Caenorhabditis elegans: one gene and its partners. The protein of the gene in region 3 interacts with the protein of the main gene of each other region in a pairwise test. Each region holds a gene or a part of one and is shown on either strand. Other genes may lie near its edges. The genes, in order: C05C12.4, ftn-1 and ZK856.11.

Region 1 (4,113 bases), on a different chromosome or scaffold from region 3:
GGACAGTATCTGAAGAGAGATTCATTGCAAGCAAAAAAGAAAATAACTGAAAATCGAAGATCTTCTTTAGAGCAACCAAAGATTCCATCAATTCAGTTCAATCTCATGGAAGGTTTGTTGACTTATAGTTCAAACTGGGAATACACATTAATAATTCAAAGTTAATACATGTAAAAATTTTTCAAAAACTCAAATTTTAGTTTTCTTTTGAAAAACTTGATATTCTTTTCGAATATATATAAATATAATAATACAACCTGACTGGCTTGTCTATTTTTTGGTTCTTTCCCTTTATAAACTAGTATCATCTATTCCAATTATTCCATGTTCTCGAACAAGCTCATTTGGACTTTCCAAATGTTTTACCGAGAAATTTAATGTTATATTCAGTCAATCCGTTTCCGCAAACTATGAGTTGTTAAGTAAGAAAAATATTCCAATCTAAATAATTAAAACAAATATTTTTCAGATCAAGATGAATCAGCTGCTGAGTCAGCAACGGAAGAAGTTTCGATAAGCATTCCTGTTCCACAAATGAGAGTTCGTCAAGTCACAGAAAGTGATAAGTCTGATTTATCGGAAGATGATTTGATCACAAGAGAAGATGCACCACCTACTAGTATTAAGTAAGGGAATTGACATATTTCTAGGGAACTTTAAATTTTTAACTTCACGAGAATAATTGAATGTTTCAGTTTGCCACGTGGCCCGCGTCGACATGCTCTCTACTCAACCATTGCAGATGCAATTGAAACTGAAGATGATTTTTATGCTGTTAGTGGGCTTCTTCTTGTTTAAAACTGTTTTTTTGTTTCAGGACAGTCCAGTTCCAATGCCAATGACACCAGTTCAGCCAGCGGATGGGTCTTTTTTTGGGGAAAATGTTGGTTGAAATTAATTCAAAACAAACTTTTAAAAATCTAATTTTACAGGACTCGAGATATCAAAGAGATGATAGTGACTATGAATAAACATGAGCCCTAATAATTTTTAATGCTTTTAATTTAATTAAATTTTCTATTAGTGGGGACTATTTTGCCATGTATATAATGATGATTTCAATGACAGAAATATAAACTGGTTCTTTTGTCATTGGGAAAAACTGATAAGAGCATTTTTTTTGTCGTAATATGATAATTTCGCTTCGCAAAACGTTTGAAATCGTACATTTAGAATTACAACAAAAACTCGAGGAAATGGAAATAAACATTTGCATATAAGCAGCATTCGCAGATATGTCATTTGGTTCATTAGAAGCAACACTTTTGAACAGTTGAACAGTTGTGAACAGCAGTTTGAAGATCAATCCATAATAATTCTGGGAAAATAAATATTGAATCTTCCAAATAAAACTTATTTTTGAATAAAAGAATTTCTGAACACACACAGTTTCAGGGCAGTTTGAAAAATTTAGTTAACAAAAAAACCTTTGCTAATTGTTTATATTTTTTATTCCTTTGAATAATGTCAGAAGACTAAAGAGGAAAACTGATTAAACCATAAAATAGTTGTACACTGATAACACCTCATCATTCTTCATTTTCCTCAGTCTCCAACTCACAGTTTTTGTATTCCCAATTCATTTTTGTATGGTCTGACGTCACGAATGATTTTCTACAGACGTTTCCCAGTAAAATTCTTGTGACGTCAATCCATTCGAAAAGAAGAAGGAAATTTTTGTAATTCTCATGCCGTTACTGAAATCCTCGAAAACTGATGTCTGCTAGTTGTTCGTTGTTTACCGAAGTAAAAATCAACGGATGAGTCAATCCACACACAAACAGTTTTTTGTGATCTGGTATTTGATGCTCACTTTCTCAAGGTTGCAACAAACACTTTCCAAACCCCTTGAAAAATATGATGCTCCATTTCTAATGATTTCCTTTTTTTTTCAGATATACTGTATGATTTGAAAAAAAATAATGTTTCAACAAAAAAATGTAAAAAATACAATTGGAAGCATTATTATTCTACTTTCGGTATTACAACTGTTAGAAAGCAAAGAATTCGGTATTCAGATTTTTATTGAATTTTAATAAAACTATAAAAATTCAGAACCAGATGATTGTTACGAACCAGGAACAATATTTGAAGAGAACGAAAAAAATTTAGGATTTTGTCCCTGTAAATATGGATATTATGGACCCTCATGCTTCGAAATATTTGATTGTGTAATTGGAGAATTAAGAGAAGACATGTGAGTTAAAAAAAAGATAATAGTTATTATATTACGTTGCGAAAGTGAATGAAACTGAAAAATTAATTTGTAGTGACTATAAGGAATAAATCGAATGATAAGAAAAAGTTGTGTACCATTTTTTTAGTGTTGATGCAGTATTTGTTATTTTGAGAGGCAACCATATTAAATACATAGACACATAAAAACCTGACTCAAATATTTCTGAAACTGTAAGTATCTTAATTTGCTTGTTTACTTTTCATGTTTTATATTTTACTCATTCAAAAGAGATAACTACTCTATTAGAAAAAGTTGAATTTTCAAATTATTTCATTGTTCAATAAATACTGTGCGCTGGATCACTTGACAAAAGTGACGTTAAAACTACAAACCATGATGTCACAATTTGCGGTTTAACGGAATAAATACTATGCTTTTTTAAGAATTCAACATGTTTAAATTTTAAGTTGCTCGGATGAAATTGAAAATGATTACGATTTACAATGGAGATGTGCAGCATCAAAGAAGAATATTGTGAAGGTAGTTTTTTCTTTGAATGAAGTAATTTCTTTTAATTCTAAAATTTTGGATTTGCACTTGTCCACCCGGATTCCGAGGAGAAACTTGTGAATTAATAATGGAAAATACAGTTACAACATACTGGAAAACTATCAAACAATCCCAAAAATTCTTTGAAGTCGTCTACAATAAATCCGATTCATTTTTCAAAGTTGTTGGATCGAAGTCATGTAAAATAGTAAGTGATTCTAAACATTTCAGGAAATTATTTGATTTTAAAGTTCTGGGAATATCGTCGTCTAGTAATACTTGTATTATTCGCAATAATATTGGAAATGGCTTGGAGATTCACGAAAAAACAGCAGAAACAGCATGCAAACTGCAAATTGAGGAAAAATGGAGAATCAAATGGATTCATAAACCAAAATTATGATTTTTATCCTTTGAAATCAAGAAATTTAACAAATCTTGTAAGTTTAAATTTTCAATTTATCAAAAAACGATAAATTTTCAGGAATTATCAGAAAAATCCACGAAAGAGCACTTCGATGTGGAAACACTTTCAATGCAAACAAAGTTTTCAGAAATTTCTGAAGTTGATGATGGCACAATTAGTCTGAAAGAAACAAAAATTGAACAGAAAATTCACAGACCTTGCCTTCATATTTAAGTGAGAATTTCTCTAAAAAAAAAGTTTTTGATCATTTTTTTTGTACCAACCAAATGTGGAAAAAGTCAATCACCATTTAACACCTTCATCTACATCATCGGCATTGTCATTAAAGTTTAAACCTGTTAACTGTCAATTATTAATAAAAACTGAAACAAAAGAACTTACCACATATACTTGACTCAAAGCACGAAAAATTAAATTTCCTTCACTATAGTGTAAGACGTAGGAAAATGGTATTTCAGAAACTTGTTAAAAGATCAAAATATTTCAATTCTAAATGATTTTCGATCTTTCTAGACTTGTTTAACAAAGAAAGAGCACGAGCTTTTCGATTTTTGAAGTCTTAATATGCATCCTAAACCAGAAAAAAGTCCAAGTATTTTGGGTTAAAACCGAACACGTCAACTATACTCAAGGGGAATTTTTATGTCATATCTTTTGCGACTTCACCCGAGAATTTTGAAAAGCAAAACAAAATAGTCGGAAGAAAAGGAAGTTGTGCAGAAGAACGAAGAATTTGGACGCAACGAAGATCCTGCTTCACTTTTTAATTTTTTTTCAAAATTTGATAGTTATGATGGGAACTTTTAGTTAAAGTGTACAACAGATCAGTTCTGAATTTTATTTTATCTATTTTGAATTTTTTCCATGGTATTTAAATTTTCTTATTTCTATAGAAATATTTCGACTGTTTCAACGTGCCCATAAAATCTAAACTAAAATTTCACAAATAATTCTGTCC
Region 2 (3,434 bases), 2.7 Mb from region 3:
TTCTATCCATATATTTTTAGAGATATTTTAACGAACTTCAAACATGCAAATTAATCAATTTTGGTTTTTTTTTAAATATACACATTATTTAAAGAAATGAAGCTGTTTTGAAAATATAATTAAGAACAAAAATGTACATAAGTGCATTTCAAAAACATTATTGAGCCACGTTGGTTATGAAAACATTCAAAAAATGCCATTGAAAACAAAAATTCTGTCTGAAAGTATACAGAAACTTTTTTAAGTTCTACAACACTTTCCACATCGATAGAGATATTTTTTGAAAATTAGAAATAATTTTTTTGGAAATCTTTTGATATACCCAGAACAAATATATTATGTTGTTTTTGGGAAAACATCTGAAAACGTAGAATTCCACATGGCGCTGTAAACAATGAAAGCTTCTTGTAAGCTTCAATACAAAATATTTCCCTTATATTGTATTAATTCCATATACTAACGGTTTTTCCAAATAAACATTTAAAAAACACCTTATGTGTCTCAGATTTCCGCCACAAAGGTTGAAAAAAGGTTGAACCTTTTTAGGAACTGCTAATCTCTGAAGTTTTCAATGTGTTTCATTTCAGTAAATATACAATTTCATCCATATGTACAATAAATACATCAAATAAAAATTATTAATCAGAAAATTCCTCTTTGTCGAACAAATATTCTCCGAGTCCTGGGCCGGCTCTCTTGATATTTGCAATGTAGCGAGCAAATTCATTGATCGAATGTACCTTAATAAACGTTATAAAAATAGGAGTTTAAACTGAAAATGCCAACCTGCTCTTCCAAATACTTCTCCTGAATGTAATTTGTCAAGTGCGCGTCATTGCGTTGTTCGGCGATTCCATGAAGCTTCAACAAAGATGCATTATTGGCTCTCTCTAGAGCAAGTGCGGCTTCAAATGCTTCAAGGACAGTTCCCCACTCGTCTTTCTCTGGCTTCTGAATGTTCTGCATGGCAACACGTCCTCCACGGACAGCTTGAATTCTCATGAGCTCTGTGGCATGGCCACGCTCCTCATCCGATTGCTCCTTGAAAAATTTGGCAATGTTCCGAAGTGCGATATCATCACGATCGAAGTGTGCAGACATCGATAGATAGACATAGGAGGCGTAGAGTTCTACGTTAATCTGGAAAGGTAATTTAAGCTTTTAATTGAGTAATACTTCTAATTTTAAAAGCATTTCAGTGTTAATTTCGTCCAGTTCAAAAGCAAGCTCAGATAGGATTTTTATTGTAGACGCTTTCAGTCTCACGTGCTCGTCTATCTACTGCCGCCTATTCTGTATATTTTTTTTGGATGACTGGCATAAGAGCAAAGAAATCATCGACGCTGCCATGATCAAATTGCGCTTCTTCAGGTACTGTCTGCCTGCCCTTGTTCGTTAAAAAAAAACAAAATGTTGCCGGTTGGAAAAATAAGCGTGTGGTGTGTTTCAATGTTTTTATTAATCAGTTAAATTCCTAATTTAAAGTAACCAGACATCAGTGATTAATTTTCTCACGACACATCCTCTCTTTTTCTAAATCTCTTCTCAATTTCCAACCTTCCTAATATATTTTTCCCATTTGTCAAAACAATGATCATACCTGTTTATTGACGGCCGCTTCGACTTCATCGTGATAGTTTTGACGAGCTAGAGACATGACGATTTACTTGGCAGAAAATATAATGACTTGATTACGTGTCCGGGACTGTGGGTGTTTTTAAACTGGACAACTCTGGGGGCGGAGTTTGTGATTGTGATCATTGATAAACTGATTATGATTTTTGCACATTACATATTGGCAACGAAAGGGTTCTTGTTTACAGAAACATGCGTTTCAATGAACTAATATGGAAACCTAAGTGTTGAAGTACATTTTGAGAAGCTTAACCTTCTGTAAGAAAACTACATCCAAGGATCGCCGAATGAAAATAACTTTTTGCAGAAGTGTGATGTCCCTTTTCGCCTGGCTTTCTAGCGTCCACATTCACATTACATTTTGATTTTAATATGATGCTTCGTAAACTCATACTTGTCCTGTACTCAAAATTTTTAAACTTAGATATAGGTTATAAACTTGAAAAGTGTTTTTTGGGAGATAAATTATACCAGTATTGTTAGAACGTTTCCAGTGAACGCCCTAAATTCTGAAATAAAAAGTTCCGGTTTTTCCTGATCCAAACAAAACCCAATTCTCATCAAATGATGATCTACACTTTCTTAACGTTGATGTATGGTTGTCTCGGCATCACATGAGCTGCCCTAAGACATGTTGATTAGCATTTATTTTGGCTACGTGCATCAAAATTTAGTGATAACAAACGGTACGTGCCGCTCTTATCATTGGCTACGTGAGCTGTTGACAGTCAAAAGTTGGATGGAAAAAGTGATATAGTTTAACAAAAAAAATTTAAATATTGCGTCAGAATATTGATACTTTTGAATTAGGATGGTTCAGGTTAAAGCGAAATTCAAAAAAAAAACACTGAAAACTGAGCAGACCATTTAATAACTTGAACAAGTATCAAAAATTACAAAAAAACACTTTTCAGTGGAACTGTTTTTTCACAGGCAAAGCGGAAAGTGCCCAAAACGGTCCGTTCACGGACCGGGAACGGCTCAAATTAAAGAACAGTTCACGGTTCGATTCCCGGTCCGTCAACGGACCGTAATTGAACCGTAAGGAGACTAAAAAATGGGAAAATTTTTTCACCCTCCAGCTGCCCCCTTTTTCTTTCCCAATGCTCCAAGCTCCGGTCTTCCTCCAGACCGTCTTCCGGTGATCCTTCGTTGTAGCAATTCTATCTGCCTCAGCCGGGGTTGAACTTGTCCACTGCCTGTCGATTGATTACTGGCCCATCACCTTTCCGTGTGGCCATTCGCGCACGCGAGGAATATCAAGAGACTTCGCATAAATAGCGATCAGCGCATTTTCTTCTGGTTTTCACGGCTTACACCAACTTTTTCGATTGTATTTTCAGTAGTTTCTGATTCTCCATCTTGCCGTTGGACTTATATGAAAACGAACGATAACAATTGACAGTTTCGTGTAGTCCAGAACTTATTTCGCATATTTCTCAACATCTACCTATTTGTGCTCCATCTACTTGTAATACAGAAATGGTACTTACCATATTTCCTCTATTAGTCTTGCATGCAAGACTAATTTTCGATTGGACCGTAGGGTTGCAAGACTAATAGAGGAAATAAGGTATATGCGTTCTACTTGAATGATACCTTAATTTCTTAAAATACACACGGAACAGAAACGATATCAGGAATGATTCCAGAATGTATTGTTAGTAAAATATTTTATGATATTTCAAAAAATGCTCCTGTTGCTCAGCTGAAGAAGACCAGCAGAGAGAGAGTGAACGTTGCGTATACACAGTATCTACCCAATTGTGGCATTTCATCTTTTTTATTGATATTTTTAT
Region 3 (3,820 bases):
GCTAATGTGAAAAAGGCATCTACGATTCGATCACCAAGAGGATTCACAGCCAACTCGGGAACATTCAAAAAATCGTCTCGTGAAAGAAATCCCTGTCCTGAAATGTTTTTTTATTATTTTTATGATAAAAAGAAATACGCAACAAACCTTTTTTATCAAGTGATAAAAATCGGCTGTAGAGTCGGACAATTTGATTTCTGTTAACTGAAAGTAACATTGATCATCTAATTTTCACCAAGTTAAGAACATTAAAAATAATTGTATTTATTATCTAAACTCACATTCTGTTTCACTCATTATTTCCTCAATCTCCTCATCTCGTAACATTAAAGAACTGCTGTTTCCCATTTCGTAACACTGAAAATTCAGTTCTATCAGTTTTGAGAGAAAAGTTTCTGAAGAATGGAAACCAAGAAGTGAGCGTGTGAAGTTACACCCACGAATGAACAGTTTTGCATAATCTGGCAAAGAAATAGTCAGAATTCTTCAAAAACTGTAAACAAATAACCGAACAAAACAACAAAACATTTCTGGTCTACAGAGATGATTTTGGAGATAATACAGGCAGGTACTATTGAGATATGGCGTAGTATCGATTAGCCACAATCTATTGAAAACATGGATAACGAGAGAAGAGAGAACTATCGATTTTCAAAGCAACTGTCTTATCTTTATGAAATGGACGCGATCATGCCACGGAGAGGCAGCAGGCGCATAAACAGGAAAGTAAAGGCGGTTGGAAGTGAAAGAACATGATAACAAAAATAACAGTAATGTAACAAAAACACGGGAAACGCCAATTTAAAGTGGGTAGGGAAAGCAACTTGAAAACTGCTTATTCATTTCGAAGGTGCCTGCATTCGGTTTGGATTATACGTGTCGAATTCTTCTTCCTCTTCGTCATCAACGTCATCTTCATCGTATGTCTCCTCCCCTTCTGATTCGTCCTCTTCTTCGCTTTCACTGAAATAACGATATTATTCTTCAAGAAAATAAAATTTTCGTGAGGCGAGTGACGTCATTATTGTATTTTTGATGATTATAAAATGTACCTAGTGCGTTCCCGTATATTGTTCTTTCGCATCTCCTCATATAATTCGTAGCTAGTTTGTAATAACGACTGTCGTAATGAAGCGTATACATTACAACAGAAAGGATTGACCGATCAAATAGATCATGGAATTAAATGACCTGTATTGCAAAAAAATCGTACCTTGGTGGAAGCATGTCGTCATCGATCATTTTATCCGATGTTTGACCACGCTTAGCTTCTCGAGTCATTTTTAGAGCGTTTTCTTCGAAACAAGTAGGCCATTTGCCGAGTTCGCGAATGTATAAAACATTGTCCTGATCCAAAATGTACTCGATTTCTCCTTTCACCTTAAAACCACATAAAATACTTTTCGTTAATATTTTTTGTCTTACTTTGTCTCCTTCTGTGATTGGCCGAACAACGACAAACTGATCACGCCGAAGCCATACTGATTTTCTAAACTTTGTGGGCATCGATACAACATAGCTGTCACCATTTTGATCGAGAACTTCATGCAAATTGTTACCACGCGATTGTCGGACTTGTGCAATTATGTCTTCATCAACAAGCTCGTAAAACTCGCTTCCAACCTGAAACAAAAATTTAATTCAGAACACGAAAACTTAAAATCTTACTTTGTTGGTAATGTATCTCTTTTTGGTAGCAGCAGACATGATTTCAGGTTTAAAAAAAATTGAGTTTTAAGTTGGGAAGTATACGATTAATGTATCACTTCTTCTACTTATACGCATAAACTGGAGAAAAGGCCCGAAACCTGCAAAACTGAAATTAGAACAGAAGACGAGTTACGAGACGAAAAGAAAAATAAATGCAGTATTAAATACTACTGCGAGCATAAATTTTTTCTCGTGAAAATTAAGAGAAAAAACATCAAAAATGCATTAAATAAAGAACACATTCAGAGAACGAATAAAAATTAAATAAAAATTTTCGACATAAAGTTACGATGCGTGTCAACAACCATTGCTGGCGCATTTCTCTTTCTTGGCGCATACTCGATATGTCGATTTACGGTAGGCTACCGTGAAATGAACTTTGGGCAAAATATGGAAGAAATGCTTGATTAAATTATTTATTCACATTTGAAAATAGAAAATGGTGTCAGAGATGTTTTTAGAAGCACTTGATAGTTATTAAAACTCAAGTAGAAGAATCCATGGCCGTATCCGTACTCGATGAGGATTGAGTCGGCATCGGAATGCTTGGACAAGATGGAATGATTACATTGTCAAAATCAGAAGAGCACGCTGTGAAGGATGTCGGATATTTTTGTGTTTCGAGTTGCGATATCAAGCTGGTTCCACGGAAGACTGGCAGTGGGACGTTGTTCGAATGGTACTGTTGACTACTGGTGGGCGCAGCTGAGCTTTTAAGCATAAGGTTACGAGTTTTTTCGCTCATGTTTCTGAAACCATTCTGAAATTAAAATATCAGGCCGCCTTTGGAAGTACTTGTATAAATCATGAGACAAACATAATGATTGGATAATCGATCTTTGCAAGCTATCTTTATATTTATTTTGCAAGACGAAAAAATAACAACTTATTCAACAATAACAAAAAGTAAAAACAGTGTACCCGTTATAATCAATTAAAATTTGATTAAACTGGCTCTTCTTTAATTTTAACAGGCTGTCTAACTTCTTCTTGAGGCTGTCTAATTTCTTCTTTGGGCTGTATAACTTCTTCTTGTTCATCTTGCTCGTCTTCAACCGCTTCATCATCTTCATCTTCTGCTGCCCACCATCCAATACATCCCAATCCAGTACTAGCCATCGTACCTTTGATTTCCATAGATTTCTCTGTTTTTCTCTCTTCGTGTGTTAACTCTGGTTTGAGATCTCTGCAAACAAATCAATATTTTAATTTCGATGAAATACAAAATGTCTCACTTGAAAATGATTTCCGTCACTCGGAATCTCACAATCTTCCCTGGATCCATATACAGTTTTGCTGGTGGTTCTCCATCTTCCTGTGCATATTCCCAATACCAAACTTGCCCTTCTTCTTCGAAAACATGAGGTTCTGGAAGCTTTTCCGCCGGTACAAAAATGTCTTCGAAGAATTGAATTGTTAGACAAAGACCTTGTCGTGATGAACCAATCACTTTGGCCTCAATAACTTCATCGACAAATGGCCGAAAAACGATCATACGGAACTGAAGATTTATTTCATTTCTCAAATACGACTGTACATTGATTTATTACCTTAACTCTCGCTCTACAATCTCCTTCGCCGGGTAAAATGTACGAATCACCAATTTCATTTATATCATAGACACAAATACAGAGACCAAGATCCGGAATAATTTTGTTGGCGAGACGTTCATTGAGCCGTTTTTTGATAACAATTTGCTGATCAGAGCTCAATTGATGAGGCTGAATAGCCACCGTATCGTGCAGTAGAGAAAGAATGAACATACTGTAAATATTAAACATTTTCCTTTTATACGGCATCAGTATCAGCAGATATTGAATGGAAGCTTGAACTATATTCTCAGAACCAAATATAATGAAATAAAAATAATAAAAAAGAAAATTTATAAGTAATTGTTTAAAAAAGTACGATGGGATTGCTACTTATAAATTAGACCACACAATGTCAGACATTGGATAGATTAACAAAAATTATTCTTCAACAAAAAATCAAACAACAAGATATTTTTCATAAATTTTCCTAGCGGCGAAATTGTTTCCTGATGTTCGGTAGATTAAAGCCAGGTTGTGAGCAGCCATCTTTCTCAGGTCATATCTGAAATTTTAATAGT

Evidence for each region.
Region 1: the proteins of ZK856.11 (region 3) and C05C12.4 interact in a two-hybrid assay, tested with the Caenorhabditis elegans proteins (one large-scale study listed by BioGRID).
Region 2: the proteins of ZK856.11 (region 3) and ftn-1 interact in a two-hybrid assay, tested with the Caenorhabditis elegans proteins (one large-scale study listed by BioGRID).

Annotation. Positions count from the first base shown.
Region 1 is NC_003282.8:11,245,862-11,249,974, reverse strand, and holds C05C12.4 (EGF-like domain-containing protein), read left to right. Parts: upstream 1-1,893; 5' UTR 1,894-1,922; coding exon 1,923-2,010; intron 2,011-2,055; coding exon 2,056-2,197; intron 2,198-2,646; coding exon 2,647-2,719; intron 2,720-2,768; coding exon 2,769-2,936; intron 2,937-2,979; coding exon 2,980-3,168; intron 3,169-3,212; coding exon 3,213-3,368; 3' UTR 3,369-3,524; downstream 3,525-4,113. Other genes in the region: gtl-1 (TRPM SLOG domain-containing protein), read left to right, coding at 1-112, 470-626, 696-774, 818-883, 933-971.
Region 2 is NC_003283.11:7,545,907-7,549,340, forward strand, and holds ftn-1 (Ferritin), read right to left. Parts: upstream 1,674-3,434; 5' UTR 1,658-1,673; coding exon 1,601-1,657; intron 1,141-1,600; coding exon 787-1,140; intron 741-786; coding exon 639-740; 3' UTR 562-638; downstream 1-561.
Region 3 is NC_003283.11:10,203,129-10,206,948, forward strand, and holds ZK856.11 (putative RNA-binding protein EIF1AD), read right to left. Parts: upstream 1,811-3,820; 5' UTR 1,786-1,810; coding exon of another isoform or gene 1,735-1,785; 5' UTR 1,708-1,734; coding exon 1,669-1,707; intron 1,624-1,668; coding exon 1,426-1,623; intron 1,381-1,425; coding exon 1,214-1,380; intron 964-1,213; coding exon 840-963; 3' UTR 643-839; downstream 1-642. Other genes in the region: chpf-1 (EF-hand domain-containing protein), read right to left, coding at 1-97, 148-204, 282-348; ZK856.16 (Ovule protein), read right to left, coding at 2,195-2,455; rpc-25 (DNA-directed RNA polymerase III subunit RPC8), read right to left, coding at 2,656-2,896, 2,946-3,211, 3,261-3,473; tftc-3 (TPR_REGION domain-containing protein), read right to left, coding at 3,699-3,804.